Regions from separate parts of the Mus musculus genome. Here all the other regions are reported to be linked to region 1. Evidence: microRNA targets listed by miRTarBase, many of them from high-throughput screens and not tested one by one. Region 1 holds a microRNA gene; each other region holds the end of a gene's coding sequence.
Evidence for each region. Region 1 holds the annotated microRNA mmu-miR-130a-3p (CAGUGCAAUGUUAAAAGGGCAU, at 5,435-5,456, shown strand). A microRNA usually pairs through its seed, bases 2 to 8, with sites in the 3' UTR of a target mRNA and lowers its output. Matches are read on the target gene's strand: a 7mer-m8 pairs with bases 2 to 8, a 7mer-A1 pairs with bases 2 to 7 and ends in A, and an 8mer does both.

Region 2: the mRNA of Snx27 is a reported target of mmu-miR-130a-3p. Seed matches in the 3' UTR shown: 7mer-m8 at 6,850-6,856.
Region 3: miRTarBase lists Atxn1 as a target of mmu-miR-130a-3p. The part of its 3' UTR that is shown has no 7-base or 8-base seed match.
Region 4: miRTarBase lists Nfia as a target of mmu-miR-130a-3p. Seed matches in the 3' UTR shown: 7mer-A1 at 2,458-2,464 and 7mer-A1 at 52-58.

The regions. Positions count from the first base shown.
Region 1 is chr2:84,739,086-84,746,571 of GRCm38, reverse strand. Mir130a (microRNA 130a) reads left to right here and starts at 5,394; the gene lies at 5,394-5,457. Gm19426 (a long non-coding RNA gene) reads left to right here and starts at 2,170. Exons shown (of 2, transcript XR_104776.5): 1 at 2,170-3,110; 2 at 3,872-4,407.
Region 2 is chr3:94,494,029-94,501,514 of GRCm38, forward strand. Snx27 (sorting nexin family member 27) reads right to left here. Exons shown (of 12, transcript NM_001082484.2): 12 at 3,514-7,243. The coding sequence ends at 7,196. It also overlaps a transcript of Celf3 not described here. Among named protein-coding and RNA genes, the nearest start is that of Celf3, 19 kb to the left of the region's middle.
Region 3 is chr13:45,551,709-45,559,194 of GRCm38, reverse strand. It overlaps Atxn1 (ataxin 1), which reads left to right. Exons shown (of 8, transcript NM_009124.6): 8 at 1,610-7,486. The coding sequence ends at 2,140. Among named protein-coding and RNA genes, the nearest start is that of Gm34582, 30 kb to the right of the region's middle.
Region 4 is chr4:98,109,238-98,116,723 of GRCm38, reverse strand. Nfia (nuclear factor I/A) reads right to left here. Exons shown (of 11, transcript NM_010905.3): 11 at 1-5,506. The coding sequence ends at 5,489. Among named protein-coding and RNA genes, the nearest start is that of Gm34784, 13 kb to the left of the region's middle.

The DNA of each region.
Region 1 (7,486 bases):
AGCATGTTATCCTCGTAGAACCTGCTAGAAGCAGAGATTGAATGAATAAATATTCTACAAGTTCAGCCCTCTTCTTTACTAGTGCCCATCTGAGCTGTATGTATAGTCTGAGCTTATATCTAAGTGAATACTGCATGTCCTGTATTCCCACTTCTTCACAAGTCCCAGTGGCTTGTATTTGTGAATAAGCCCAGAAATGAATGAATCCAATCATTCTTTCATTCCCTTGTGGTAGGAGATAGCAAGGTCTTTCACTAACATTGATTCAGGAAGCCCGGGCTGAGCTGTTTCCTTCCTTCCCTCCCTCTTCTTCCTCCCTATCCTTCTTTAATAGTCTTGCTAGGTAGCCCAGATTGGTCTCAAGTTTGGCAATTCATCTGTCTCAGCCTCTGAAGTCCTAGGATTGCAGCTATGCACTACCACACTCAGCTTCTGCCTGTTTTCTTGTAACGCTAGCTACCCTGGAACGCAAGGATTTCATATGCTGGTTAAAGGAATTTATTGGATCCTCCCGAAGCTGATCACCCTTAGATATCAGCCATGTGATAAGTTATTACACCAGCTCCCATATGGGCTTGGTTAAAAAACACATATTGAATAAACGTAATAATGTGTTTGAATACATAAAGATATGACTGGTTTATTGGTGCATATTAAATCATGAATAAATACTCATATTGCCTGTGCCCTTCTCCACCCCTAACAATATCTTACTTTTGGCTGTTGAAAAGAAGATTTGCATATGGTCTAGGCAGGCTTCAAGTAGCTAAGAATGACCTTAAATTCCTACCTTCAGGCTTTTGTCTCCTAAATGCTGAGGCTACAGGATTGTTGCAACCAAGCCCAGCAACATCTTGGTTTTTAGCCTTGTTAAAAAAAAAAAAAACAGTTTCTTCATGGTGGAAGGACAAAACCAATCTTAGTTGTCGTCTGACCTCCATGCATGTCCCCCACATACCTTGCATATTAAACAGCAACATTAAAAAAACAAACAAAGCCGGGCATGGTGGCTCACAGCCTTAATCCCAGCACTCAGGAGGCAGAGGCAGGCAGATTCTGAGTTTGAGACCAGCCTGGTCTACAAAGTGAGTTCCAGGACAGCCAGGGCTACACAGAGAAACCCTGTCTCAAAAAAACAAAAAACAAACAAACTAGCATCTATACAGAATGATGTCTGGACAAGAATGTTGAATTTCCTTTCCCATGTAATGATGCCCCTGGTGATGTCTGATGTGGGTCTGAAAAACTACACAGCTTTTGATAAAATAAAGGGATTGCTTTACTAAAGGATGAGGGGACAAGGTGTGTTGACACATGTTAGGTGGTAATCACACCATTCGGGGGAGGCTTAGTGAAGAGGCCTGACTGTTGTAAATTTGGGGTGGATTTGTACTACCTAGCAAGATCTTGTCTCAAGAACCCCCCCCAAACAACACATCCAAAAATATTCTGTTTTCACCAGGGTAATATATGCAATAATGTAATATGTATACATATTACATATATATATATATATATATGTATACATATTACATATATATATATACAGCATATTACATATATATATATACAGCAAAGTAGCCATTGTATGAAAAGGGCCAGTCTTGGTTTTATAGCAAATCCAAGGTTGTGACACCCTGTCTCAAAACAAAACAACACAAAATAAAAAGCACACAAACAACAAAAAGTCATAAACTCAATATACAATTAACATATACTGATAAAATTTAAAGTGATATTAAACTAAATTTGAAAGGCAGTTCCTCTGCTCTAGCCAGATTTCAAGTGCTTAATCGCTTTATGTATCTGGTAGCTACCATCTTAGATGACACACATATAGAACCATTTCCTTTTGTACCCAGAAAATTCCACATGGCAGCTCTGTTTTGGCTCACTCTTTTGCAGTTGAGAAGACTGAGGCCTATGGAAGGATCATGACTGATGCATGCCTGTTACAGGCAGATATAGATACAAGCTATTCTATTTCCTGATATATCGCCCCCATTTTCGCCTTCCTCCTGAGACTCTAGGATCCTCCAGCTCCAAGACCAAGATCCAAGGTGCAAGAAAGTCAGTTTGGACTAGGTAGGGGTGCTGATGATGGGGGTGGGGGCAAGGCTGGTTTAGAGGGATGTTTGTGACTGAACAGGGCTTCAGATGCGCCGCATTCCTGATCGGGTCAGGCTTGCCCTGCGGCACTAGGGATTAGCTCTTCTGAACAGCCCCACCTCTTCTTTCTGGAGTTGCCAGTTTCCTGCCCAACCCAGGGGCCGCATGTATTCAGGAGGCGCCCGAACTGCTTTGGGTGAGGCTAAAACGCTGAGAAAATTCCGGCTAGAGAAGTACTTCTGGTCAGAGGGAGAGTTGAATATAGGCAGGAAATTGACCAGATACATTTTCAGAGATCTCCAAGTCCAGCACCCGGGGCATCTGGGAACAGGGCTTCTGCCAGCCCAGCCGCAAGTTACATTTGGCGGGAATTGCATTTGCCTTCACCTGGGGTTGTGTGTGTGTGTGTGTGTGTGTGTGTGTGTGTGTGTGTGTGTAGGGGGGGAGGGCGATGGAAAAAAGCTGGAAGAGGGGCATCCTAAAATGGGGTAGGAGTAGGGAACAGGAGGCGAGAGGCCAGGGGAGGGGGCGCCGGGGAGCGCCCTGACCTCGAGGGCTGTCGAGAGGCGGAGAGGATGGGGGTTGGGGGAGAAGAGGGGAGCCTGGCAGCCAATGGGAGGGAGGATCTCGTTTCAAAAGGGTTAACACACAGCCAATGAGAGCCTGGGGGAGCGGATCCTGCTCACTCCATTCAAGAATCCCAAGTATTCAAGATGGACGGCAGGGAGTGTGGAAGGAGAAAGGGGGCGCGGGGGGAAGAGCCAGATCTGTAGAGGAGAGGAGCGCCGCAGCCAGCTTATCCTGGAGCCTCGGTCCTGGCCGGCGGGTAGAGGGGCGGCCGGCGAGGACTCGAGCCTGGCGGGGGAAGAGAGGCTAGCGGGATACGAGAGGGCGTGAGAAGGGGAGCGAGGCCAGAAAAGAGAGCCAAAAGGGAGGGAAAAGCAGAGAAAGAGCCCGGGAAGAAGGAGGTGGCGGGCAGAGGAACCTAAGAAGAGCGATGTGTAGGTATTGGGAGCTCGGCGCTTTTCGGTTTTCTTCTCTCGACGAGGGGAGGGGGTGCTCTGGCCTTTTTCTCTCCTCTGCCCTCCCCCCCTCACTCGTAGGCATCTTTTATATTTTTCCTTTTGAAACACTAACTGGGGAGCACCAGGCATGTCTTTCGGAGGTGGCCTCACTGTCAATTTCCAATGGGGGGGCGTGGTGGGAATGGGTGGGGGGTTCTGAGCCTGAGCCATCTGCCTGTCCCTGGGCTTGGGAGGGTGTGGGGACGCAGGGGACTTGGAGGGTGTGTTCCAAGAGCCGCTAGAGCATTGCAGGGAATTGGTCACGTTCAGAACTTGTAAGGTGAGCCCCACTTGCTTGTAGGGGTGTGAGGCTGGCTTTAGCTAGTAGCGGTGGGGTGCGAGGACGCGGGGAGCCGTGCCTCCACCCTCCAGTTGGGGTGAGTGTCGACTGTGGGGTGAGTTGTGCAGCAAGTATGGCAGAGAGTTTGTGCGTGTGCGTGCGAGCGCGTGTGGTCCAGCCTCGAGGTGTGGCGGGGGGCACAGTTGGGTGTCGAGGGAAAGTGCCCCTCACCCCACACTTCCCAGCTGCCCCTCTTATCCCATTCACAGAACAGGGCTTTCAGGACCCTCCTGCTCTCCTCCTCCCGTCGCCATGGTTGCGGGAGGAGGGGGGATTGCAAGAGGAGACAGTTGGAGCCAGTCCCTTGCCCCTGCTGCTCCAGCTAACCCCCCACCTGCCCTTTCTCTCCTTTCCACAGGCTGGGCCCCATTCCTGCTGCTCTGGCGGGCTGGGGCCGGAAGATGGTGGCCAATGAGGAGGGGGAGTGGAGAGAACTTGAGCCAGGCCCTCCCCTCCCCCATTTCCTCCTCTGTTTCTACACCCGCTTCTGGAAGGAGCTGGGGGATGGCTCCTAGGCCCAAGGTGGGGGAGGGGTCCTGCTGGCTGTTGAATTGCTGGTCTCCCCTCAGGAATGAGTTAGGCACGTGAGCTCCAAGGGACTCGGTGTCTCAGCTGCGTATCCCTTCGCTCCCTAAGGAAAGATCTGGGAACTCCTTGATGAAGAATCTTCTTTGGCTACCGTGAAGCTTACTGGGTAGTCTTGTCTTTGTCCCTCTGCCCCATGTTGGTCTGGTCCTGTTCCCAACTGGCTTGCCCAACTCCAGGAGCAGAGAGGCCTGGCGACTGACCCAAGCTGGGCCTTGGTTTCTGTCCATTAGAACTGTGCAAACTGTGGGGCAGGGCCCAGTGTTTGCTGATTACAAGAATAAACTGCCTGGGAAGGCGGGAAAGACACTCTCCTGCTTCCTGAGAGGGTGGGAGGAGGCTGGAGGGGGAAGCACAGAGGAAGAGCTCCCAAATGAAATTCAGGCCTCCATTTTTCCTGCTTGTTGCAATGGGGGTGGGGGGTGGTCTCCCTGAGGCTACTCCATGGTCTGAATGGATCTCCACAGGGAGGAGCCTTGCAGTCTCTGTCCCTTAGGTTAGAGCTGTAACTGGCTTCTGACCAGTATGCTTAGCTGCTGTGTGACTCTAGAGGCCTGCATGGCTCTGAGCCTTGGGTTTCAAGTGCACCTGGCTTTGGAATTTTATCAGTCTCTATTGTCCTCAATGAAATTAAGGGGGATGGCCTGGGGTCATGGAAATGAGTGTGAAGACTCCACTACTAAACCCTTGGGATAGACAGGAACCGGTGGCTTCTAAGCCCAGTGTCAATGAGAGCTTATCCTTAACTCAAGAGCCAAATCACTGGCCATTTCGCTTAATACCATATCCATAGAGTACTTTGAAGACATCAGAAAGGAAACAGTGGGGTTTCAGTTGCTTGCACCTCCAGATCTGGGAGCTTCTTTCTCCTGCCTAAGCACCTGTAGTTAGGTTCCATTATTCTAGACCTGGAGGTCACCTGAGATCATCACCTTGAGACCTCCAAGGTTTCTTTCTTTCTTTTTTTTTTTTTCTTTTCAAAAATTAAGAAGTTAGCATTAGTCTGGAGATGAGTGAAAGGCTCTGCCTGAAAGGTTGCAGGCAGAGAGCAACCTCCCCTACTACCACCACCACCACAACACAACCAGTTATTTCCTTTGAGAAGTGTCAAATGATGGGACTCCCACAGGCGGTCTCACTTGGCTCTGCACCACCACCCCTCAAGAAAAAGGTGATCTTTGCTGGGAAGGAAATGAGGACGAGGGACGAGAGGAAGGCCGTGACGTGAGCTGAGTGTGGCCAGGGACTGGGAGAAAGGGTGAGGAGGCGGGCCGGCATGCCTTTGCTGCTGGCCGGAGCTCTTTTCACATTGTGCTACTGTCTAACGTGTACCGAGCAGTGCAATGTTAAAAGGGCATCGGCCTTGTAGTACTACCCAGTGCCGGCAGCCTCCTCAGCATCACTGCATTTTCTCCCACCTGAGCACCAGTCAGCTACTCTGCTGGCAATTTGGATATATGGAGCCCTCCCTTAGATGAGGAAGCTAAGGCTGTAGAGCTCCTAAGTTAACTGCTCTATCCTGAGCCCAACAGGAAGGCACCCATTTTTGTAGACCTGTCCAGAGAGATTTGAACTGAGGGGGTGAATGGTTTTGATGCCACCTGCTGGTTATGTGAGGATATCATCTGAAGTCTTCAGCTTTTAAGAATAAACTCCGCCGCCACACCCCCCACACCCCTGCCCCGCCAAGGGGCAGCTCCTTAAATGAAGGTCTGAGTTTTCAGGTGAAGCTTGGGATGGGCAGATGGTGAAGTATGGGAGAAAATTTGTGAGGCCCACAGAAGGCCTCTGGGGATAGGGTGCACTGAAAAGGAAAGGGGCTAACAAGAAAGGACAGATGCCTAGGCAAAGGGGCTTCGGTGTCCCTCCTGTCCTCTACGGCTCTTCCTTGCATCTTCCATGTAGGAAGGAGGTCTCCTCTTCACTCAGTTTTCAGCATGACACTCTCCTGACCACTCACTTGCTTGTGATGGTTCTTGAAGGCCTGGTCACCCAGGATTCGGTCAGCACTAGTTAGAATCTTAAGTGGTGCCCAGAGTCTTCTCGTGCTCCACAACCACACCATTGACTTTTCTGTCTTTCACAGGGCTCTCCTTGAGCAGATTTTAAAGCTTGCTCTGATGCAGCAAGTGGGGCCAAAGGATGGAATTGGGTACCTACTAGAATTTAAGGAAAGAAGACACTGTGGGTCAGACACTCCTATGGTCCCAGCACTCAGGCTTCTGGCTTGTTGGCCCTTCTGTGTCTGCTGGTTCTTTGTCCTTTCTACAGTCTCTCGATTCTGATGCTAACAGCACAGGTGGCTCTAGGCTGGAGAGATGGCTCAGCGGTTAAAAGCACAGCTATGCTCTTGCAGAGGTCCTGAGTTCAATTCCCAGCAACCACAGGGTGGTTCACAACTATCTATAAAGGGATCGGATGCCCTCTTCTGGTGTGTCTGAAGACAGTGACAGTGTAGTCACACTACAGATAGCTCTAAATCCATTACTTCAGTCTAAGTAATCTGAGCCTCCCTGGGTAGAGTGGTGCACACCTTTAATCCCGGTACTGAAGAGGGAGGTAAAACTGAGTTCAAGATTCGCATGATCTTTATAGGAAGTTTCAGGCAAGCCAGAGCTAAGTAGTGAAACTATGGCAACCCTCCCTCCCTTGCACAGCATGAGAAAGTACTGAGCTTGATCCCAAACACAAGGGATCCACGGGCCAGATGCGGCAGAACACGCCTATAATCTCAGAAATAATAAGTAATTAGAAACTGGAGGTAGGATTAGAAAGTCATACCGCAAGTTAGAAGGCCAGCCTAGGCTACATAAGACTATTTCAGAATAACAGTAGTTTGCCCATGCTTTCCCAGTGTCCTTGAGATGCAGTCCCAATCCTCTGAGGTTTACAGCTCTTCCCCTTTCTCCCATTTTAATCTCATGTCTCATCCTCTTGCACTTCTGTTCCAGCCTCAAAAAAAAAAAAAGTTTCCTCAAATGAGCCCAGCTTGTGCCACACCACACAGTTCTGTCTGAAATTCTCTCTCATCTTGTCCTTTTTCTGCCCATCTTTCCAACATGGTCTCTCTTCTGGGAAGCCATCCCTGACACCTCAGGTCTAGGGAGCTAGTCTGGACTAGAGCCCATATTATCTTCTGTTGGGATTAATTAGGTTCTTTCTGGCCACTAGATTCAGAGTTCCAAAAAGTCTGCCCATGGCTGGCTTGCTCTCCACGCATCCCCAGAGTTCAGAACAACGCCTGGCAATTAATACACACCTACAATGTAACAAATGGCTTTTTACCATAAATATAGTCTTGCTCTATAGGGGCTGGGCCTCTCCAATTTCACATCAGTGCACTCCAGCCATGTTCCTCACATCACACTTTTCTGTTGATGCTATACTT
Region 2 (7,486 bases), not on the chromosome of region 1:
CTTCAATGATCTCTAAATATGAGCATTTGGACAGCCCTGGTTCTTAGGACATTCTGGTTCTTAGGAAAGCTTTCTCACTTTTCACCCTCTGTTTTATTACTTATTAATTTATTTAGGTTTTTCTAGACAGGGTTTCTCTGCATAGTTCTAGCAGTTCAGGGACTCTCTATAGACTAGGCTGGCCTCAAACTCAGATCCACCTGTCTCTGGAGTGTTTGGGATTAAAGGCGTGCACAACCACCACCGGTCTCAGCCTCATTTAATGTGCACACACACATGCATGTGTGGCAATGAGCATGTCCGGCACGTGCGGTGGCAGTTGGAGGACAATTTCTGGAATGGACTTGAACTCCCGTTCTTCCTGTCCCCACTTCCCATGTTCTGGGATGGCAGCTGTGCACCTACACAGGGTTCACTGTACTTCTCCCAGAGTCAGCTTCCTCTTGCCAAATGCAAGATCTCCTCCCTCCGTGGACTGGGTCCTTTCATCTGCTCAGGAAGAACAAGTTGCTACCTTTTCTCTTAGTTTTCCTATTAGTAAACACTACCACATATACCCACTCACGGCCAAATCTGAATGACAACTGCCTTGTTCACTGCTAGTACTCTAAATAGGTACTCAACACTAGGAGCTAGTTAGTAAACAATGATGAAATGACCAGTGGGGCTGGAGAGATGGTTTATCAGTTAAAAGCGTTTACCATGCTTGCAGAGGACACAACTCTAACTCTAGTACCAGAGGATTCCAACTCATATATATGCACACACATAAAAAAAAAATCTCTAAAAAGAAATGACTCCTGGAGCAGAAGGTGGCTCAGCAGTTAAAAGCACTGGCTGCTTCAATTCCTACCACCACACAGCAGCTCAATACTGTAACTCCAGTTCCAGGGGCTCCACTGCACTAGGCATGCATGTGGTGCACATACCTGTGCAAGAAGGCAAAAATACCCCCACGTTTTTTTAAAAAGTGACTCCTAGCTATCTATACTGGATTTTCCACTGTGTGTAAATCTGAGTAGTCGAATACTAAAACATGTTCCCTCCAAAGTCTTGGGGCTTTTTGCTTTTCTTTTTTGGTTAAGATTTATTTATTTTTGATATTTCAAGACCAAGTTTCTCTGTGTAGCCCTGGCTGTCCTGGAACTAACTCTGCAGACCACCCTAACCTCAAACTTAAAGATACCACTATCTCTGCTCCCTACCTGTTGGGATTAAAGGCTTGTGCCACCATGGCCAGCTTTAAGATGTTTATGTGTGAGTGTCTACATGTATATTTGGGGGCTGCATATTTATTTGCCTGATGCCCAAAGAAACCAGCAAGGAGGTTGGATCCCCGGAGCTTGAGTTGGAGGTGCCTGTGAGCTGCTGTGTGGGTGGTGGGAACTGAACCTGGGTCCTCTGCAAGATCGGACAGAGCTCCTAACCAATAGGCATCTCTCTAGGATACTTTATTTGGTTTTCTTTGATTTTTGGCATTTCGAGACAGGGTTTTTCTGTGTAGCCCTGGTTGTCCTGGAACTCTGTAGATCAGGCTGGCTTGGACTCTACTTGCCTCTCTGCCTTCTAAGTACTGCCCTCTTCCACTTTATTTTTTGAAATAGAATCCCATGCAGCCCAGTCGGGCTTCAAACCTGCTACATAGTCACACATGATCTTGGATTCCTGGTTATCCTACAATTACATCCTGAATGCTGGCATTATAGCACATCCACCTGGCCTGGCTCAACTCCTAAAATAGTTTGATTCTCTAGTCACACAGAGCTTGGGAGCCCTTCACCCATTTCACGTAAATTCGGTGTCGTTAAATCACAAGATTCTGTTTCTATAATTTCTCCTTATGTCTATTTCTTCTTTCAGTTATTACTGTGTCTGCTTCTTAACATAATAATTATACCAGTCTCCTAATTCATTCCCTCTTCCACATGCTGGAAGGAGAATCAACTCCCACAAATTGTTCTTTAACCTACGTTTACTGTGACACACATATTCGAACACACACACTATAAAAACAAGGGACTGGGAGAATCCTTACCTCCTCCTGCATTCTTGAACATGCCCTATATTCCGCTGACACAGAACTATTCACTGTGCTCTGGACAAGTCTGGTTTTTTCTTACCCCACGCTTCTTCACTCTGCATGCTGCAGTGGTCTTGTACATAATGGCCAATACTGCTCGATACCTGCTTGATGAAATCTTGCTCGTGTTAAATCATTTACATTACATAGCACTTTAAGATTTCCCTTTATCATCTGTAAATCTTACGATTTATTATATTTAATGTATATGTGCGTGCAATACAACTCACATGTGTGCAGAGGATAACTTGTGTGAAATCAGTTTTCTCTTTCCACCATGTGGGGCCTAGGATTCTAACTCAGGTTGTCAGCCTTGGCAGCAAGCATCTTTACCTACTGGACCATCTTGCCCTTCCCCATGCTTTTGAGAACAGGGTCTTATGTGGCCCAGGCTGGCCCTGAACTTGCTATGTAGCTGAAGCCGGCCCTGAACTCCTAAACCTCCTGTGTCCTGTACTGGGGTTATACGCATATACCATCATACCTGGGTCTTTTATGATATCCCTAGAGCACTGAAACCTTGTGTTTCATGGGCCTGTCTCCCCTGTGAGGCTGTGAGCATTCCTGTATCTGCGATTTCACAGGCAGTGTCCCATAGATTTACTAATGCTGTTACTTCAGCCTCTATAATTCTACCCTTTTTATGGTTCTTTATTAAAGAGTTTTTTTTTAAACATATCTAGTGATCAGTATTTATTAGATTCCAAGTACTAGGTGAATGAGACTGTGAAAAATGTCTTGACCCAAATCCAAACAAAATGTGTCAAACTTGGTGGTCCTTGTTCTTAGGGTCAACTAAGGACCAAAGCATGTGGTAAAGGGCTATGAAAATACCAAGAAATGAAATGATGATTCACACAAAATGGAAATGTCTGACCCACTACAATGCTGGGCTTTTTGGAGAGCAGACTCTCTTCTGAGTAAGGAGGTGGCCTGGTACCTGGGTTCTCTGTGTAAGACCAAGGACAGCAAGGCCACTTTTATTCTCAGGCACATGATCAGAGGAAGATCACAACCCCCAGACTACATGGTATTGTTTAGGCACTCATTAGGGGAGATATAAAATATTTCCCTAGTTACTTATAAATGAGATACACATATTCTGGGGGTCAGGTGGGACATACCATGTCCCAAAAGCTCTGCCAGGTTTTGCCTGTGCTTGGCTGGTGAAGGAGTCTTGTGAATAGTCACAAGACTTTGCAAAGGAGAGCGCAACAACTGAGAAGTGAGGAAGCAGGTGGGATTTCCGAGGGAGCCATGGGGAAAGAGCAGCTCCTTCCTTCCTCCCCTGACTCTGTTTCCCCGGGTTAGCTGGGAAAAGCAGTTAGACGGCCCCTCTCATTTTCAGACTAGCTGCTCCAACTCAACTGTCAAAGGCCCCTCTTTACTTCTTCCCACATAACCCAAAGGATTTGTAGTCTAGGAAACCAAAGAATTGTTTCATCAATAAATCAATTTATTTAAAAGAATATGTTACAATTAATTACACTAAGTAACATTACCAAACAATCTTAGAGTGGTTAGCTCTAGAGCAGGGTTGGAGAAACACTGGAGCCAGTGGGTCTCTGCACTTTCTCTTCACATTTTGTAAATCACAAATAAAAGTACAAGATACTGCAGTGAAAATACAATTAGTTTCTCTCAAATAAATTATAAGTGTGCATGGCCTGGGAAAAACTGAAGCCCAGCTCAGCAGCTTACAAGGGGGCATAATAACAAGTTGGCACCCATGGTCAGCAGCTAACCAAGTGCTCCTACCAGGATCAGTCCCTCTGGTGTCGCTCCTCCCCAGAGCCCGATTTCCATGCACCCTCAGTTACTGCTGAGAAAGAAGCTGCTGCTATCCAGGGAAAGGAGCCCTGGCAGATATGCTGAGGGTTAGAGGAAGAAGAATCCAAGACGGAGGACTAAAGAAGCGTTCTCCCTCCCGCTGGCGCTAAGTATTCAGCCACACTGCTGCTCCTCCAAAAAGAAGTTAAAGCAACCCATCCAACTGGTGAAGGAGCAGCAGTGTGCTGAAGCCAGCAGAATGGAAAGGAGGGCAGAAAGGACCTCCATTCCTGGAGACTTCAGCTAAACGCAAATGCATGTAGGTCCCTTTAAGAAGACTGCTTTCTAGGAGCTGGCCCTTAAGCTGGAAACTCTGAGATGAGAGAGGTGCTCCCTCTTATCAGTGCCCTATTTTGCTGCTTCAGGCATCGGGTTTGGAGCAATGAAGGGATAATTCAAAGCTACTGGCCCAGGTAACTAAAGGATAAAATTAAATGGGCCAGGCAAGAGGATGCTAGAGCATTTACCTTGTTCCTCCCTGAGAGCTCTGTCAAGGCCTGGGAACTGCCCTGAACACTGACTGTAGCTGTGCTGAGCTGAGGCCTCCGCAAGGGCAAGGGGAAGGCGGAGAGACGAAGACCGGAATAAAAGTACAAAGAGCGGCAAGCTCAAAGCACTGCCCAAGCAAAGCTTCCTAGAGCACCTGGCTTCTCAGGGACTAAGTAGTTTCCTGCTCCGTAAAGATCTCTTGAGTTTTAGTATCAGAGAACAGAAACTCCTCGTGGAGGAAAGAACAGTTGGAGACCAGGAAGATTCTGCTGGAGTGAAGCTGGGAGGGGAAGTCCCTTCCCCAGAGACAAACTGCCCAAAAAACCTGTAGATGCCTTCCTGGGCAGAAGCCAGGTCTAAGAAACATAGAAGGGATTAGAGAAAGGAAGGGTAGGGGTTTGGGGGAGGGAGTAGTTACATCTAACACTGCTTCATGCAAAAGAACTTGATCCTGTGGGCCTCTGTGGGCCTCTAGGCCACCGTGACCTCCTCTTCCAGGACTGCAGCTCCACTGGGAGACCCTGGGAGCTGCTTCTTCCCAGCTCCCTGCTGCAGCTGGGTGTTCTGGTAGGAAGACTACCTAAAGCAGGGTGTTCCTACAGATTCTGTTAACCCCAACACAGTGGGGCTGACTCTTCAGGACTTCCAAAGCCCTGTCCCTATTCTGGAAGGCTCTCTTCCTGAGGGAATTAGCTGCAATGTTGCTCTTTTTACAGTTTGAACACAGCTGGCCTCCAGAGCATCTTGGAGAGGAAATCAACTCGCCCCCTCTTAAGGTACTCAGACTCATTAGTAAAGCCAAGAGGGAGAGTTGATCCTGATTAAAGCCTCCAAATCAGGTATTGCCCTTTTCAACTTTAAACACTACTATATTTTGTACTTTGTGGTCCCACGGGTTTGGACAGGGGAGGGAAAGACTATCCTAAAAGGTGTGTTTACACCTTCCTGCGACAAGTGGCTGCCAGAATAATGGAGACAGAAAAGTAGCCTCATAATGAATGCTCTGCAAAACCAAGGCATGAAAGAAACTTTAAACCAAATCCAACACTGCCAACTACATCCAATTCTGGCTGCCTTTCAGCTACATAAAGCCAAAGACGAAGCCTGTGGAGGCTTCAATATCGAAGGAAAAGTAGATAAAGAGTTTCAAAGACGTGTTTTAGTTGTACCTAACCTCAGAGTTCTTTACACTCAAGGTTTGAGACTATTACTCTAGTGCCAGCCTGGCCTCTGTCCCAAATGTTGCTTTTAGGTCCTAGGAGGTCTAAGTGCAGGGGCAGGTAAGGAACTCTTCTACTTTTGAGATATGTGATCCAGGATAGCCTTGAACTCATTAGTTAGCAGAGGTGGACTTGAAAATTCTGAGTTTCCTGCATTCCCCTCCCACGTGCTGAGATTACAGGTGTGTGCTACAATACCCCAACACCCAAATTTTATGTGGTGCTGGGGATGGAATTGAGGGCTTTATGCAGGCTAGGCAAACACTCCCGGCCCCAGCCTCAGCCTCGGGACCAGCCCCAGCTCCAGGTAAAGAACTCTTTAAGAGATTTCTCTTCAGTCTCCTTTGAAGTAAATGGTGGTGGTGAACTAAAATTGACCATACTCCCACTTCTTGGGCCCTCAGCTGTCATGAACAGGGCTCTGATTTGGTTGGCAGCAACCCAGACTCTAAGTTTACCCAAGACACTCCTTCCACGTACAGCTGTTTAAAGAACTCACAGAGGATGTAAAATAGATGGTTACTGGACAGGAATGGAAGAGGTAAGGCCCTTATAAATCTGAGGCACAGCTTCCATCCTCCCTTTCCTCCATCTGTCCAACCTCTGATGTCAGGGTTAGTCCTGATACAACCCCTGTTGCAGAAGAAAAAGTTTCCTACTATAACAGCTTCCTCAGATTACCCTGAACTGTTTTGGGTCAGTTAAAAGGGAGCATAATAAAAGACCCTAAAGAAACAGGAAGGAGATGGAGGACGGACTCAACGTCGATCGATGGACCATGGCTTGGAAAATGACTTGGAATCGAGACTCTAGGTCTTTAGACTCCCTGCAGCCTCAACTGCTCTTGAGAAACGGCCTTTCTCCTCCTCAGCACCCTCTTGAAGATAAAGACACTACACTCCTCGATCCTCAGACTCTATGGCAAACCAACAGCCAGAAACTGTACTCAATACAAAAAAGGGAAGAAAACCCAAGCAGGTTGTAAACTTTTCGAGTCCTTCATGAGGAGAGGTATTTTCCCTGTATTTTTTTTTCCTTTTTAAAGTTTGTTTCAAAATAAAGAGAGCAAGAGAGAGGTCATGAATTCTGTGAAAGGTGTGTAAAAACACAAGCTAAAAAAGGTACTGCCATCAATATGAAATTTAAAAAGAAATATATATATGTATATACGTGCAGCTAATTTGTGTATATATAATTTTTACATACATACATACATATATATGCTTGAACAGTGCAAATGGATGGAGTTCATAGTTCCAGTTTTAAAAATATAGTACAAGGAGAGTCTGTTGGTATGAGGCCCGGGTCAAACGACAAAGATGACTTTGGCGTGTTGGCTGGGCTTGTGTGTCTGATCTCAGTGGACTTCTGGTACTATCAACCTGCTCTCTACCAGCTCAGTTCCAGAGACGGGAAATTCTCAGGAAGTTATTAATAATATTTAGCTTAGGACTTTGGGACATAGTGACTTTTTTTTCCTTTTTTTCTTCTTTTGTGTTAATGGTTACTGTCTGACATGGGAGACGAAAAGGCTAAGAGGCTGAGGGCAAAGAGAAGATAAAGGGATGAGGAAAGGCTAGGTGGCCACATCCCTCTGCTGTGACCTCGCCATCTGGAAAATATTCTGAAAGGAAAAAAAAAAAAAAAAGAGTTACTGAGGAGCAGCAGGGCCTCCGATCTGGAGACAACCCTCCGACACGATGGGAGCAGCACACGCGCTGACAACCGGATTCAACAATCCCAAGCCAACACAGCCGCTCACATCACAGAGGACTCTGAATATTTACCACCTGGCTCAGTCTTTCTCTTTTACAAAAGAGATAATTCAGATCTAAAAAGGTGGTTGCTATGCCCAAAATCACAGACA
Region 3 (7,486 bases), not on the chromosome of region 1:
AAAACATCTTTCCATGGTCTATGGATCCAGCAAAGAAAGGAAGCTTAGTAATTCAAGAAGCCTGTGTAGTGAGATGAGCTCAGGGGTGAAGCATGAGACTTTAGCTCTCAAAACAACCTGGCGGCTGGACCATATCTGTCCCTGTAGTGTCTACTCGCAAAAGCCCTCCAACACTGCCCCATCCTTCAGGCCCGTCTTCTAAGAAAGACCTCCCTACTGGTCCCAGCCTTTATAGATGATGCCCCCCTTAAATTCATTGAACACATAAAGTTCATTGGTTCTAAGGATTATATTCATCCCCCCTTTAGGTGATAGGAATTCAGTGGCAAACAGGCACATACTGTTCTTCACAGAGTTTACCTAACATCTCAGTCTGACCAATATTTAGCATGACTATAGCTGGCCTTTGGAGTCACCCACAGTGCCTCACAAGTGGGCACTTTGTGGTTGCTGGGCAACCAGTAGATGGTTTTACCAGACCCCCTACAAACCTGGTATTTGGTAGAATGCTTTGAACGATGTAAGGAATTTATATTTGTCTCAGTAGCTTCTGCCCAGGGTCTGTGTATGGCCAGTGCAGCTGTGGCTGCAGTTAGCACACAGAGTATCTCTGTAAGGCGAGAGGCTGGTAAACAAACTCTCAGGTTTTTTTCTTCTTATCTAGCCTATGAGTGTCTGTGTTGAATAAAACACTCAAGGGGGCCTAAGGAGATAGCTCAGTTGGTAAAGTTCTTTCCACGAAAACAGAAGGACTTGAGTTTGATCCCCAGACCCATGTTTAAGGAGTATAAGCCAAGCAGTGGTGGCGCATGTCTTTAATCCCAGCACTTGGGAGGTAGAGGCAGGCAGATTTCTGAGTTCCAGGCCAGCCTGGTCTACAAAGTGAGTTCCAGGACAGCAAGGGCTATACAGAGAAACCTTCTCTCTCTCTCTCTCTCTCTCTCTCTCTCTCTCTCTCTCTCTCTCTCACACACACACACACACACACACACACACACACACACACACACGGCAGAGTGTGGAGGCATGTACTTGTAACCTCTGCACCCACTGGGGAGGCAGAGATAGAATCTGCAAAGCTTGCTGACCACCAGATGATCTCCAGGCCATTAGACACATCCTCCACTCCCAGGTGTGTCGGGGGTGGCTGCAATTACAGTATTCTGTCAAGAAGCTAGCATTTCTCAGTGCTTCTCCCAGCCTCTGGCTCTTATGTCCCCCGACACCCCCCACCCCACCCCCATCTCTCCCATGAGGCTTCCTGAGCCTTCAGGAGGGGGTTTAATACAGATATCCTGCTTAGGGCTGAGAACTCAGTCCTTATTCTCAACACTTTGACCTTCAGGTCATTGGTAGTAGGGGTATGACCACTATTAAGTTTCCCGTGTTCCAATGGATGGCCCCACACCTGTGCACATAAAGAGAGTAAGAACCACGTGTTTTTAGTGGGTTATCCTTGAAGAACTCACACCCAAGGTTGAGCTCCAGCCTCTGTACATACACGGTTTTCTGTGCACACATACACATGTACGTGCACATGTGAACACCACGTATGAACTGTTTTCTCATGTTTCCTTCCCTTTTCCTCCCTCTACTTCTGTTTCCACAGGTCAGTGTCGAAGTCTTGGTAGAGTATCCTTTTTTTGTATTTGGACAGGGCTGGTCATCCTGCTGTCCTGAGCGGACCAGCCAGCTCTTTGATCTGCCGTGTTCCAAACTCTCTGTTGGGGACGTCTGCATCTCGCTCACCCTCAAGAACCTGAAGAATGGCTCTGTTAAAAAGGGCCAGCCTGTGGACCCTGCCAGCGTCCTGCTGAAGCAGGCAAAGACCGACAGCCTGGCTGGCAGCAGACACAGATACGCGGAGCAGGAAAACGGAATCAACCAGGGAAGCGCCCAGGTGCTCTCTGAGAATGGCGAACTGAAGTTTCCAGAAAAAATAGGATTGCCTGCAGCACCCTTCCTCAGCAAAATAGAACCGAGCAAACCCACAGCCACGAGGAAGAGGAGGTGGTCGGCGCCGGAGACCCGTAAACTGGAGAAGTCGGAGGACGAGCCACCTTTGACTCTTCCCAAGCCTTCGCTCATTCCTCAGGAGGTTAAGATCTGCATCGAAGGCCGATCTAACGTGGGCAAGTAGAGACCTTGCGGGCAGCGGAGGCCCGGGGCCTCCTTTTACTGTCTGTATCCAGATTACTGTACTGTAGGCTAAGTAACACAGTATTTACATGTTACATCCTCTTTAGGTTTGTATTCTAACCTTGTCATTAGAGTCAAACAGGTGTGTCGCAGGAGACTGGTGCGTTTGCATTGTCTGCAAGGGTCTGTTGAGGAGCTGGTGGGTGGAGGATGGTCAGAACCATGTCCATGGAGCTCCCGGGCATCCTTAGTGGCCCTGAATGTGGCTTCATCAGCCCCTGCCTTCTCCGGCAGTGTGCAGAGTCGAGGGGCATCAGTTCCCACTGGTTTCAAGAACAAACACAGTGGGAAGTATCCTGCAAGGGAGTGTCTGGGTGCGTGTCCCTTGTGAAGGAGTGCGAGTGAGGGTGTCTCTTTCTCTGCCTCTGTCTCCCTCACTTGCTCCCTCTCAGTGTGGGGTTGGGGGACCTGGGTTTCCCACCTGCAAAGTCATCAGGGAACCCAGCTTCCAGGCATTGTAGGGAGACATCAGACAGGCAGATGGGAAACTAGTTTCAAAGAACGTGGTTCTCTCCAACATATTTTACAATAAAAAGCAACTTTTAATCATAGATATATAGATATATATATATATTTCCCCCCATGGGGCCTGACTGCACTGAGGTTTTTTTGTTTTATTTTGTTTTGTTGGGTTTTTGTTTTTGTTCTTTTTTTTTTTTTTTTTTTTTTTTTTTTTAAGAGCAGCTGCCACTTGCAGGATTTCATTTCTGCTTTACCCGGTCCAGTCCAGTGACATCATCAGTCGTCATGGTGGGCAGGGAAAGTCCTTGCTCAGGTCACTCCTGGTCAGGCAGGTAGCAGTGGGGCGGGAGGGACGGAGGGAGCACCCACACTGGTTTCTGTGCAGTGTTAGGAAAAGCAATCAGGTTACTTGCGTTGGCTTCCAAGAAGGAAAATGCAAGCCCCGCTTCCCGCGAGAGCCAGCTTCTCCCAGCTGTGCCGGCAGCATCTTTTCTGTATTTTAGGTCTAGTACTGTTCATGACTATGGACAACTCGGGTGCCGCTTTTTTTTTTTCTTTCTTTCTTTTTTCCTCAATCCCAGTGTGACATGAGGAGTTAGATCTGGAAGATGCTCCTCTGTTACTTTATCTCGCAAACAGCTAAAAATGCTGTGCAGGCTTCTTAACCAAGCATCTTGGTCTGTCATTCAACAAGTACTGTATCTCACTTTCGACTCTTTTTGGGAAAAGAAAAGGAAAAAAAAAATGACAAACCTAAGTTGCTTTTGTTTTTGTTTTTGTTTTTTCTTCTCAACACTGTAACTACACTTCAGCTCTGCTCACAAGCCAGCAATCGAAAACTCCAATCTGGTTTAAAAGGATGAATGTGAAGTACGAACTAGCCCGTGACAATATATGACTACCGAGTACTACCTGACGGCAGGCACTTGTCACTTTGATGTTGGAGAAAGAGTTAAAGGCATATGCAGAGTTGGCAGAGAAACCGAGACAAGACACAGAGGAAAAGACACTCGGTTGTGTCCAGTGTTTTTAGGACGAACTTCTAAAGAACTTTGCGATTTGCACATCTTGAGTTTATAATTTGTGTGATATTCCTGCAGTTTTTATCTAATAACATTGTGGGAAAGGTTTGGGAGGGTTACAAGAGCATAAATAAATGTAGCAAAATTACTTTCTAACCTGCCTAGACCCTAGGCCCTTCTTAGAAGGTTCTGTCCCCTTTGAGACTTCATTTTGTCATCTACCACATCTGTCACCAGAAGCCAGGTCTGAGGGTCTTCTTCAGCGCCATTGAGAGTTTCCCATATAGACATTTTATATATGTGAGCAAGTATTTTCATTTCTGGAAAAAAAAGTGTTAAATTTTTTTTTAAAAGAAACTTATGTTTCTATTTGAAATCCAACTAGGATCTAATGTTTGGTACAAAACTCCAGAAATGGTATTTTCATAAAGTCACAAGTTTTCATTCCCAGAGGTCAAAATATCATTTGTGGGTTCTGAGTGGGTCTTAAAGTACTTTAACCCTAGTTTTATAAATGGGGAGAAGTTTTTAAACATTCTTTCTTGGCTACAACCTAAGTAAGTACTTATTTGACGTTTCTTTTTAGCAATTTAAAAAGAAAAGATTTCTTCCATTTCTCAAAATAGAAAAAAAAAAAAACCAAAAAGACCCTCCCCTGGCAACCCACATACATGTTGGCTATCCAGTCTCCATTCACAGTGGCTTTTGTTGGGACTAATGATCTTTTTCCAGACCATTTTCTGGGATGTACCAAACACCTTTGAGTAGGTCCGGAATAGCTGGCCTCTCCCTAAACTTCATCGCCCTCTCCGCCCGCTGGCAGAGCTGGGTGAGCCCGTTCTTGCAATCAGACGCTTATTTAGTGCTGTGATCCTTTTGTTTTATTTTATTTTTTTTAATCTTTCTGTTCAGAGACCTTGCTTGATCTTCCCTATATCTGCTCAGGGCACTGGCACTTACTAGGTTTTCGGTTTTGTTTTGTTTTGTTTTGTTTTAACCTCCAATGGTGAGAGGACTAGGAGGTTGCCACGGAGGCGCTGTGTGCCAGTTATCTACAACAGCCCCTGTGAGCTCAGAAAACACACACACACACACACACACACACACACAAACACACACTCTGCTCTCTGGCTAACTCCGAGGAGTGAACTGACTGCATCCACTAAGCTGACACTAAAACAGGTAAAAACACACATGGCTCAGAGCAATAGGAATATCATAACTTGTGGTTCTATTTCAGGTATAGGAATTATACAAATCATTGATTCTTCCGAAGCATCCGTCCCATCTCATTCTCTGGCTCCCTTAGCATGTGCAATACTTTGTGTGCCAATAGTGTGCTATCTAGTTAAAGTTCATTCCCTTTTGGCCTTTTCCTTGTTCGGTGGGCTGACCTTTCTTCCCCTCGCTGGCCAGAGAAAGGCTGGAGGAGTGAGCCAGGAGAGGCGAGCCCCTTCCATTTCTCCTTAACACCGATGGATGCAGAGTGCTAGGGTAGGCAGCCTATGGGAGCCTGTGTGTGTCTGTCACCAGGACACAGTGAGAGCCAGCCAAGGAGACCTGAGGGAAGCACTTTGAAGGTCCGTCACCACACTCTGCAAAGGCCCCTCGCTCTGTAGTGAAGCTGGAATGGAGCCAGGAGGCGGAGTGGCTCCTAGGACGAACTCTGGAGCGGAATGGTCTTCAGTCAACTCATTTTCAGTCTCTTCTGTGTCCTTGAGACTTTGATCCCTGCCTTTGACACAAGCAACTTATTGCATATGTGTGTGTTCTGAGCATGCCCACCAGTGGCTTTGGAGGGCAACCTGGCAACCACAGTCACCATTCCCTTGGGACAGCTTTCTCTTCAAACAGGAAGAACACACAGAGGCAGGAGCCACCTCTTATTTGCAGACATTGGTGGGGTCCTCCAGGCTCCCGGAGCACCTTTGGTCAACTGTGTAGGGAGCACGGTAATAGCAGTGCCCTCATCGGACAAGGATCAGCCACGCGCCTCTGTACCTGTCCTCTTTGCAATATTTACCAACAGCCGACTTTTCCTTCTTCTCTTTCCTGCTTTCCATTTTAAAACAAAGTAACAGCAGGCCTTTTTTGTGTTTACAACGGAACACAATCACCAAGAAATTAGTCAGGGCAAAAAGAAAACATAGTAATATTACTCATAAGAAATCAGCAAACAAGAACCTCTTTCTAGGGATTTCTAAATACACAACAACGTGACTGTTCCTTAGACTGTTTAACTTTAGAATTATTTCAGTTTGTCTGGGCCACCTTGGGGGTCAGTGGGATGGGGTAGGGACTGGGGTGGGGGAAGGCCAGGGATACCACTTACCTCAAATCTTTTTAAAAGTGGAAATCCAAATTGCATTTGGGGGAGGGTGGGGAGGGGGGACTTGCAGGATAATCGTCTATGTTGGTCACATTTTGCTTTTCTCGATTCATCCAACTCAGTTTGGGATGGCCTGATGTTTGTGGTGGTGGCAACAGAACGTCCTTAACTCTGAACCCCAACCTTGTATGTTTTCTGTTAGGTGAGCTTGTTGGGTTCCTCCCCACCCCCTTACCCCATAAGGAAGTGGCAGCGTCCTTTCTCCCTTGCAAGGAACCCTGCAGAACCTTCCACACCTCTTACTCAGGGATGGGGCTGGTGTGTGTGTGTGGAACACAGATGTGTTCAGCAACAGCACTTTGGACTGCTCTGGAGTAGGGTTGTACAATTTCAAGGAATGTTTGGATCTCCCCGCACAGTGTGGATTGCTCCTTAGCTACTGCACAGATTGCAATATAATGCTGCACGTTCAAGACGAGCAGTAGCTCCTCATAATCAGAAGAAAAAAAATATATCCACTCTTTGCACATAGTTTGATCTTTACTGAAATATGTTGCCAAAATCTGTTTTTGTTCTAGCTTTGTATCTTTTCATTTCTTTCTTTCTCTCTCTCTCTCTTTTTTCTTTTAAGGAAACAATTGATAATACCTTGTAACATCTGTGACTACTAAGGAAACCTATTTTGTAGATGCTTTTGAAGACACTAACACCTATTTCAGACACGGGTGAGGAGGCAGAGCTCTTGGGATAGAAAGCCAGACTTTGTAAGTTGAGTTGGCATGGCAACTGTTTCCTGAGCCACAAGACCCTCAACCAACTGGTCTGCTCTCTCTCTCGAGAGCCCTTCGCTCCTCATTTCCCAGTCACCCCCTTTGACTCCAGGGGAATACAGGGCCTCCAGTCTCCGGGTCCTATCCAGTTTCTTTAGTGGTTGAGATGAACGGCAAGAGAATCATATTTTGTTGTTTTAAAAGTGGAGCAAAGGCCTTTGCATCCACAGTTGTGTTTTGATGCCAGGATTTCCGAAATAGAAAATTTAAGGAAAAATCGAGTAATAACTATAGAGAATTTACTTTTCTTTTAATAAAGCACATGCGTATGACCTGTTGAGTTGGGTTGGTTTTCTCCCTGTCCATGAACAGTGTTGTATTTCTGTTCCTAAGGCAACTCGAAACAGTTTGCACACCTCTACTCTGGAGCTGGGATTTCTTTCATAGATGACCTCGCTTCAAATGTTACCTTACTGATAGGCTTTTTCTTGTAGCGCTATACCTTGTGGGAAGTTTTTTTGTTTTGTTTTGTTTTTTTCTTTAAAGTACACCCAATTTGAGCAGCTGGGGGGTGGGGGAGGGAGGGTTGAGACACTCACTTTGGGGGTGGGTGGGTTACAGATAATTTTTTTTTAAAAAAATTGCACAAAAGAAAAATGAATGTTGAAATGATTCATTCAGTGTTTGAAAGAGACAGATCTGTT
Region 4 (7,486 bases), not on the chromosome of region 1:
CGGAAAGTAGATACCAAAGTTGATATAGTTTTTTTTTTTCTTCAGATAGATTAGTGCATAGTTCTCATGCAGGTAAACACTGCTATGCATTTACACTGTTGGGAAGCAGAGTGAACTGAGCCCGAGTTGTCACATTCGTGTGAATCATTTTGTCAGCCTGTAATAGCACCATGTAATGGATTTGCATTAAACATTAAATTGATTTCAGAACTGGTGACACAGTATTCACTACAGTTAAGTGCTATGGAATAGCTTCAATATACCTGCTATATATCAAAGCAATTTTCATCCCACTGCTTTTTTTTATTGGAAAAATAAAGGGGAAACATTCATGACACTAATTGGATGAATGCACAGCCTCGGAGGTGGAGAAGGCAGAGTAGGTTACTGTCGAACAGCACGAGCATGCATTGACTTCAAGACAAAATGGCCTCCGAAGGCGATGGGAAAGGAAAGCCATGCCAGAGGGGCGGAGCTAGCAGCCTCTGGGAGTGTCTAGGATGGACTGGCGGGCAGGCTGGAAGGCACCACCCCAACTCTCCTTACTGACCACACTTCTTGTATTTTACAACAGTTCAATGGAGGCCTGCTACCAGAAACCAGAAGGGAAGAAGCAGCAAAAGAAAACCAGAGAGACAGACAGTGAGAAAGAGAGAAGGAGACAGGGAGGGAAGGAGGAGGGAGAGATGGGGGACTGTGGGATAAACTCTGATGTAAAAAAATATCAAATGACAGTCTTAAAGACCAGTCCCCATCAAAACCAAAACCAAAACAATGAAACAAACAAAAAAAATCCCCAACCCAACAACAATAACAACAAAAAACAAATCATGGGAGAAAATGTTTTCCTTTGCAAATACCTCATGATATGGTTGTTATAGAGCTTGAAGCACACGAGGATAGAGATTTGGGAAGGTGAAAGACAGTAGTTTTGAGATGGAGTTTGCATATTCTTGTGGGCTGACTGAATACAGAACAGCGTGACTAGAAAGTTGGATCCTGCGCTCTTGGACTGTTGGGAAAGGAAAAAAGGAAGCACGGAGGATTGAGGCTGGAGGGCCTGTGGGAGGCCATCCGGATGGTGGGGAGTGAGCCCTGCATAGGCAGTGAGCTTTTAGATGTCATGCCAGGCAGTAAAGAGACAACCTCAGTGGGAAGTGAAGGGCTGGAGGATGGGAGAAGGGCACCAGAGAAGACTTCTGCCCAGGACAGTTTAGAAAAGGAGCTTTGTGGTGGCCAGGAGAGGGGCCAAGGGAGAACATTTATTGGAAAAATGCTGAGAGTTAGACTTGGTGCCTCTGACTTCAGTTCCCAAAGACAAAAATGGGGGGGGGGGAGTCATTTGAGGGACCATCTTTACCAATTGTGTTAATGCCATTTGATGGGAGAGGAAAAAGCAATTCAACATGTCTCAGAATCAAGTCTGGCTTCCAATGCTGACAGCTCTTGGGGCTGTCTGTCTCTACACTCCTGTAGCAAAGCCTTCCTCAAGCACCTTGGCTCAGCTCTTGACCTAAACTGCCTTGGTCGGTGTTGCATTTGCTTCCTGCTTGATGACAACGGAACTACAATTTCCTGCTGCTTTCTGGACAATGAAGCATGAGCAGACCAGAACTTGGTGTACTGACTACTTAATCCTTGGTTGCTGTCACCCTATGCTGCCTCCACAGTGGTTGAGAGCCTTTAAAAACATTTTTTTTCCTCCTGCAAATCTGTTGAGAGTTCCCTACTTTTAGCTTCATTAAACCTAATACAATAAAATACCTTCAAAAGTACAGCACACCTCTGACGTCCATTTGTAATGGTTCTTCAGTAGACCTACACTTCTCAAGCATAGGCATAGGCTATACCATTGGCAGAAAAATAATTGCATTTAAATACTTTAAAAGTAGAAAAAGAAAAAAAAAAACCCAAACCAACCGAACAAAAAAGAAACGGGAAAGTTTTAAACTTAATCCCGTTCCCACAAGGAGGTGGAGAAGGAAGAAGAAGAAGCAATGCTGTGAACGCTGCCTTTGTAATGAACAATCAGAGATTTCACTAGGCTAATTTGACAGAAATGTTTCCTCATTTAGACAACATTACAAAAGTCCTGCATTATAAAATAGGGTAGAATAAATCAGTGTAATCAATAAAACTATACAACGATACAAATTACATATCTTCTGAGTGGGCAGTTTATTCTCTCTCTTTGCAGTCGAGACTACAACATGCTCACTAAAAACAACTAGAACTGCCCAAACTATTGCTTAGTTTGTTTTGTTTAAAAAAAGGGTGCAATTTTATTGTATATACAACCAATTTACTGGTAATACCTTGGCATTTCGCAAGGTTCTGACAAAATGTTTGTCTAGGCTTTTTTCCCTTCACTGTGAAGCACTGAAAGCTGCTATTTTTTCTTTCTTTTTTTTTCTTTCTCCTTTTTTTTTTTTTTTTTTTTTTTTTTTTTTTTTTTTTTAGTGCACATATGTCATCATAAAGTAATGCTCAGCTAAGTGCTATAGGGAAGGCAAAGTCTGCTGCTGGCTATAGGAAGTGACACCATACACTGACAATCACACCATACAACAGCGCCAAACGACTATACAACCACTTATCAGACACATATGAAAATCCAAAATGTTTTATTTTATTTTTTTTCCTTAAATAGAGATAACCAGTAAACAATTTTCAGAACTTGGAAGTTTAAAAACGTGCATATAAAAATGGGCATTATGTACTTTTTATTGAATGTGGATTGACTGCCGTCTGCTAAGAAAAGTGGGTGTGGGGGTCTGAAGAGAAAGGAAGTTGTCTTTTTTTTTTCTTTTTCTCTTTTTTTAAGGCTTGCTTGTGAAAGGAACAGTTGTAAAAACAAAATTGCTTGAAGCAGGGTCAGCTTAGTGCTTCACAGTTTGGCTGCTTCTCTAAGAGGAGCCCTTCCTGCGCACGTGCATCACAAACCACAGAAAACACAAAGAGAGACACCTAAAACCCACTGCGTCATGTGCAGCACTGACTTTGGTCAAACAAAAAAAAAAAAAAAAAAAAAAAAAAAAAGAAAGAAAGAAAAATTAATACTTGCTAAGCTTTTCTACATGATATAAGCAGGTATTGCATATTTTCATATATCTGGGGGCGGGGGCAGGAATAAAGGGAGACTCCAAATAAATTGAAAAAAAAAATGCAGCGACATCCCAAATACTGACATTGTAAGCATCTACAGAGCTCAGAATAGCACTGCCACTGACCACACAGGACACTCAAGACTACGCCTGTCTGCGGAACAGCTAACTTTCTATTTAGGTCTAGATGTTGAAACTGACGATGGCTGACATAAAGGTTAACATTTACAGAAAGTGTCTCCGAATGCTTGAGTAGGGAAAAAACCCCTTCAATTGAGGAGCATGTGCAACAATTCCACAAATAATCACTATCCAGGGCAAGGCACATTGATATGGAATTTCTGTTTTCGTGCAAATTAAGGAAAAAAATAAAAACAAAACAACATCGTTTAGGGATGGGGGTGGGGTTAGGTGAGGAGCAAAGTGTCTTCCCAGGAATTTCAGTCACTTGATTGTATAGGACAGTAGTTGAGCCCTTCTGAAGGGCTGAGACAGTTTAAAGGCAAGTGCCTAGAGTGGGGTTACAATATTGTCTTAATGCACTCTACTTTATCCTACATTAGCTATATAAAAATTAGTTACTAACACTAGAACATGCAGAGAGACTTCCTCTGGTCGGCAGGCTTTGCCGACCAGAACACATATATATGTATAGTATAGGAAACCGTGACATTGCATGGGAAGCAAGGGTGCTTCGCTGTCTGGTAGAAAAATCACTTGCATTTTTTTTGTTTGTTTGTTTATTTGTTTCTGCTTTTTTTTCCTTTTTTGATTTTTTTTGTCTTTTTTTTTTTGTCTTTTTTTTCCCTTAAACATAAGATACAAGACATCTGGGGGGGGGGGGCGGGGAGGGTGTGAACTTTTTTTTTTTCCCTAACAAGTACTTTGATCTGAATGGGCACACATAGTTGTGTCCTTATCAGTATTCGTGTTATTTTCCCGTAGCCCAGTTCAGGGTTTGCAAAGGGTCTTTGAAACTTCTGGACAATGTCTGGTACAATGAAGCGTTGGATAACCGATAGATCAGGTGTTGCCATACATGTGTAAAATTTTTCAGAATTGGCATAATTCATTATAGTGATTTCTAGCTTATAAAATTAACAGATACCATGATTTCATTTGAGTTATGTGCTTTGATAACAGAAAATAATTAATTAGCATTTAATGTAGTTAACATATTGTGGTAAAAGCACCATTAGATTTGTATTTTTTTTTTGTATTTTTTTTGTTTTTTTAAATTTTCCTTCGGTTTTTTTTTAAAGGGATACAAGTTTAACAATAAAAAACATAAAAAGCAAAAATAGCTCCCCTTTTTCTTGCAAGGCTGTTTTTTACCCCAATAATTTAGAGTCCTGGGGTGGGAGGACTTGAAAAACAAAAATAGAATTTTCAACAATCTCTATCTTACAAAGATACTTAGCTATCCAATGAAATTGCACTTCACTCAATTCAAAATTCGATTGTTTTGATTCCTGTCAGTTTCTGTCAAAACAGACCATCTTCCCCATTTCCATGTGAATTTTTGTGTCATTGTTGAAATTGTTGAAAAATGTTTTTTTTTAAATGTAAGTGCAGCATTTCAAAACTTAAGAACAAAAAAAACAAAAAAAAACAAAAAAAAAAAAAACAAAAAAACAAAAACCCAACCAAACTGATAGTAGTAGTCTTTGCCGTCTTTTTGGAAATTGCTCTGCAACAGGAGCGGATTCACTGTCCTTGCGGGTTGTGTTATGTATGTAACTGCTGACTGCTGAACCAAACCAAATTAAAAGAAAGATCAACTTAACTGCATTTTTTCCCTAATATGTTACAGAAAAAAAAAAACCAAAAAAACAACCCCCCCCCCAAAAAAAACCATTGCCCTTTGAGTGTCCTGTAAGTTACAGATCTCAGCGATTACAGAAGGTTTCATGCTCCAGGTGTCTCCAGATGCTCAGGGAGGGTCACACACCTGCACGGGCAAATTCAGGAAATACTGGGAAAAGGCCAGGCTCCCAAGTGTTACCACAGGAAGTTCACGAGCGAGGCTCATCCTTCACCAACCACTTCACCTACTGCTCACGCCACCACTGAAACACTTCAAATGTCACACAGCCCAACCATTTCCAGCACCATGAGAAATTACGACAGTCCCTAAAGTATTAAAAAAGAAAAAAAAAAAGAAAAAAAGAAAAAAAGAAAAAAAAAAGAATCCCAAAAAGTTATGGCCTTTGCTGTTTGACCACGATGTTTGCTGTTTCCATGTATAAGTTGATTCGAGTTGGTTTCGCTCCCCTTCCACTGACAGTGAAGTTGTAACTGCGCCGGGTTGAGGTTGCGTCCATGTTACAGAGTTGAGAAGGGGTCAGGTGGTCTGTCTGGAGGATGGTGGGATGCTGCAACTTTTATCCCAGGTACCAGGACTGGAAGACAAAAAGAAAAGTCTAATTAAAATGCAGGTGTAGTGCTGGGTGTAGTGGCTCGTGGGTAGCTCTTGGCTAGTATGAGCAAGGCCCACAGTGATCCAGTGCACAAAAACAAAAAGCATTCAATATTGTAAAACTATTTTGAAAGTTGCTCTTTTAACCATGGGATCAGAATTTACCTTGGGAGTTCATGTGGTCGAGGGATGACAGTAAATCCCAAGCCACTGAAATTTATCTTATTCCTCTGACATTAAAATTCATTGCCTTTGTGGGCTTTGCCAATGCTTTGCATATATCTTACCAGGTGCCGTCTTTCTGGTCACATGGCAGGTTTTGTAACCCTGTAGTGAGCCAATTAGAAGAGGGCAAGGAACCTGGCTATCTTATTAGTACCTAGCTTAATGCCTGGGAGGGCTCAAGAAAGACAAGCAAATTCGATGGAGTGGCTGAAGTGTGAGCTTGGGGCTGCAGCAAATAGCTATTTCCATGACTTTCTCAATATATTTCTCAGTGAGGTGTAGGTGCTAAGGACAGGTGCTAAATGTACAAACACAACATTCTGTAGGTGGCCCATGATAGCAGTTAAAACAGAAAGGTCTGGTGGAAAACTCACTGGTGACCTGGGAGGGGGTGGGGGGTGGGAAGTCAGACTGGCCTCTCCCCTTGCTCCTCATGATGGGTGCAAATCCTTTCTTCCCTCCCCTCCTCTCCCCTCCCCTCCCCTCCTCTCCCCTCTTCTCCCCTCCTCTCCCCTCCTCTCCCCTCCCCTCCCCTCTCCTCCCCTCCCCTCCTCTTTCTTTCTCTTTCTCTCTCTCTCTCTCTCTCTCTCTCTTTCTCTCTTTCTCTCTTTCTCTCTTTTTTTCTTTCCGAGACAGGGTTTCTCTGTATAGACCTGGCTGTCCTGGAACTCACTTCATAGACAAGGCTGGCCTTGAACTCAGAAATCCACCTGCCTCTGCCTCCCAAGTGCTGGGATTAAAGGCATTCGCCACCACTGCCCGGCCAGGTGCAAATCCTTTCAATGGCATATATTTAAAATTCTTTTCTTAGAAAAGATACATAATAAAATAAGATGGCACCTTATGAAGCACCATTGTGTTCATGGGGAAATGAAACCACTGTAGTTCTCGTTCATGTTTCTGTCTACTCAATGTGCCCTTGGAGCTTTCTGCCAGCTGTGGAGCCAGTCTTATGTCCCTTTCAGAAACATTCTTTGTCAACACAGAGAGTTCGCTTAACAAAATGAGCAACTATAGACCAATCTCAAAACTCAAGTGAGGCTAAAAATTGTATGACTTTTTTTTTTTTTTTTTGCCAACTTTCTTCTAAGTATTCTGAAGAATTCAGTATTTTCATCAGAAAACCTACCAGCTTCGAGGCTGTGAGTTCTGCATTGAAAACATCACCAGGGTTTGAGTCAGTCGGAACTGATTCCGGAGGTGAGGGCTAAAGCTCACTCTTGTCGGGGAGATTCAATTAGGGGAAAGTCGGGACTCCTTTGATCCCAGGGATAAATAGCTAAGTGATAGCTCCATGGAGGCATGGTGTAAAATTTCCTGGTCACACAAGGTACCTTTGATTTCCAAAGGCGCTTATAACAAAACAAAACAAAACAAAAACTCCTAGCTCAAACCACAAAACTACTCATCCTGTAGACTTTTACTCTCTGACCATGCGCTTCGGAGAACCCAATAAAGCTGCTTATATCTGGAAAAGAAATCACCCTGGCAAGTATGCATGGCCTAAATCTAAGTGGACAAAAGAAAGATCAGTAAGAAGGAAAGGGGAGGGAAGCAGACCGCAAACCGTGTCTGCGTTAAGTTTCTCCTGATCTCTGACGCAGATCCACTTTCCATATCTGCTCTTATACAGAACAGTCTCAAACTGAGTGGTAAGTGCTGTTCCCAATCTGTTTGCATGCTTTCTAAGGCAGTTGTGAAATTCTGGACTTCTTCAGTGTGGCAGTCCTGAAGCAAA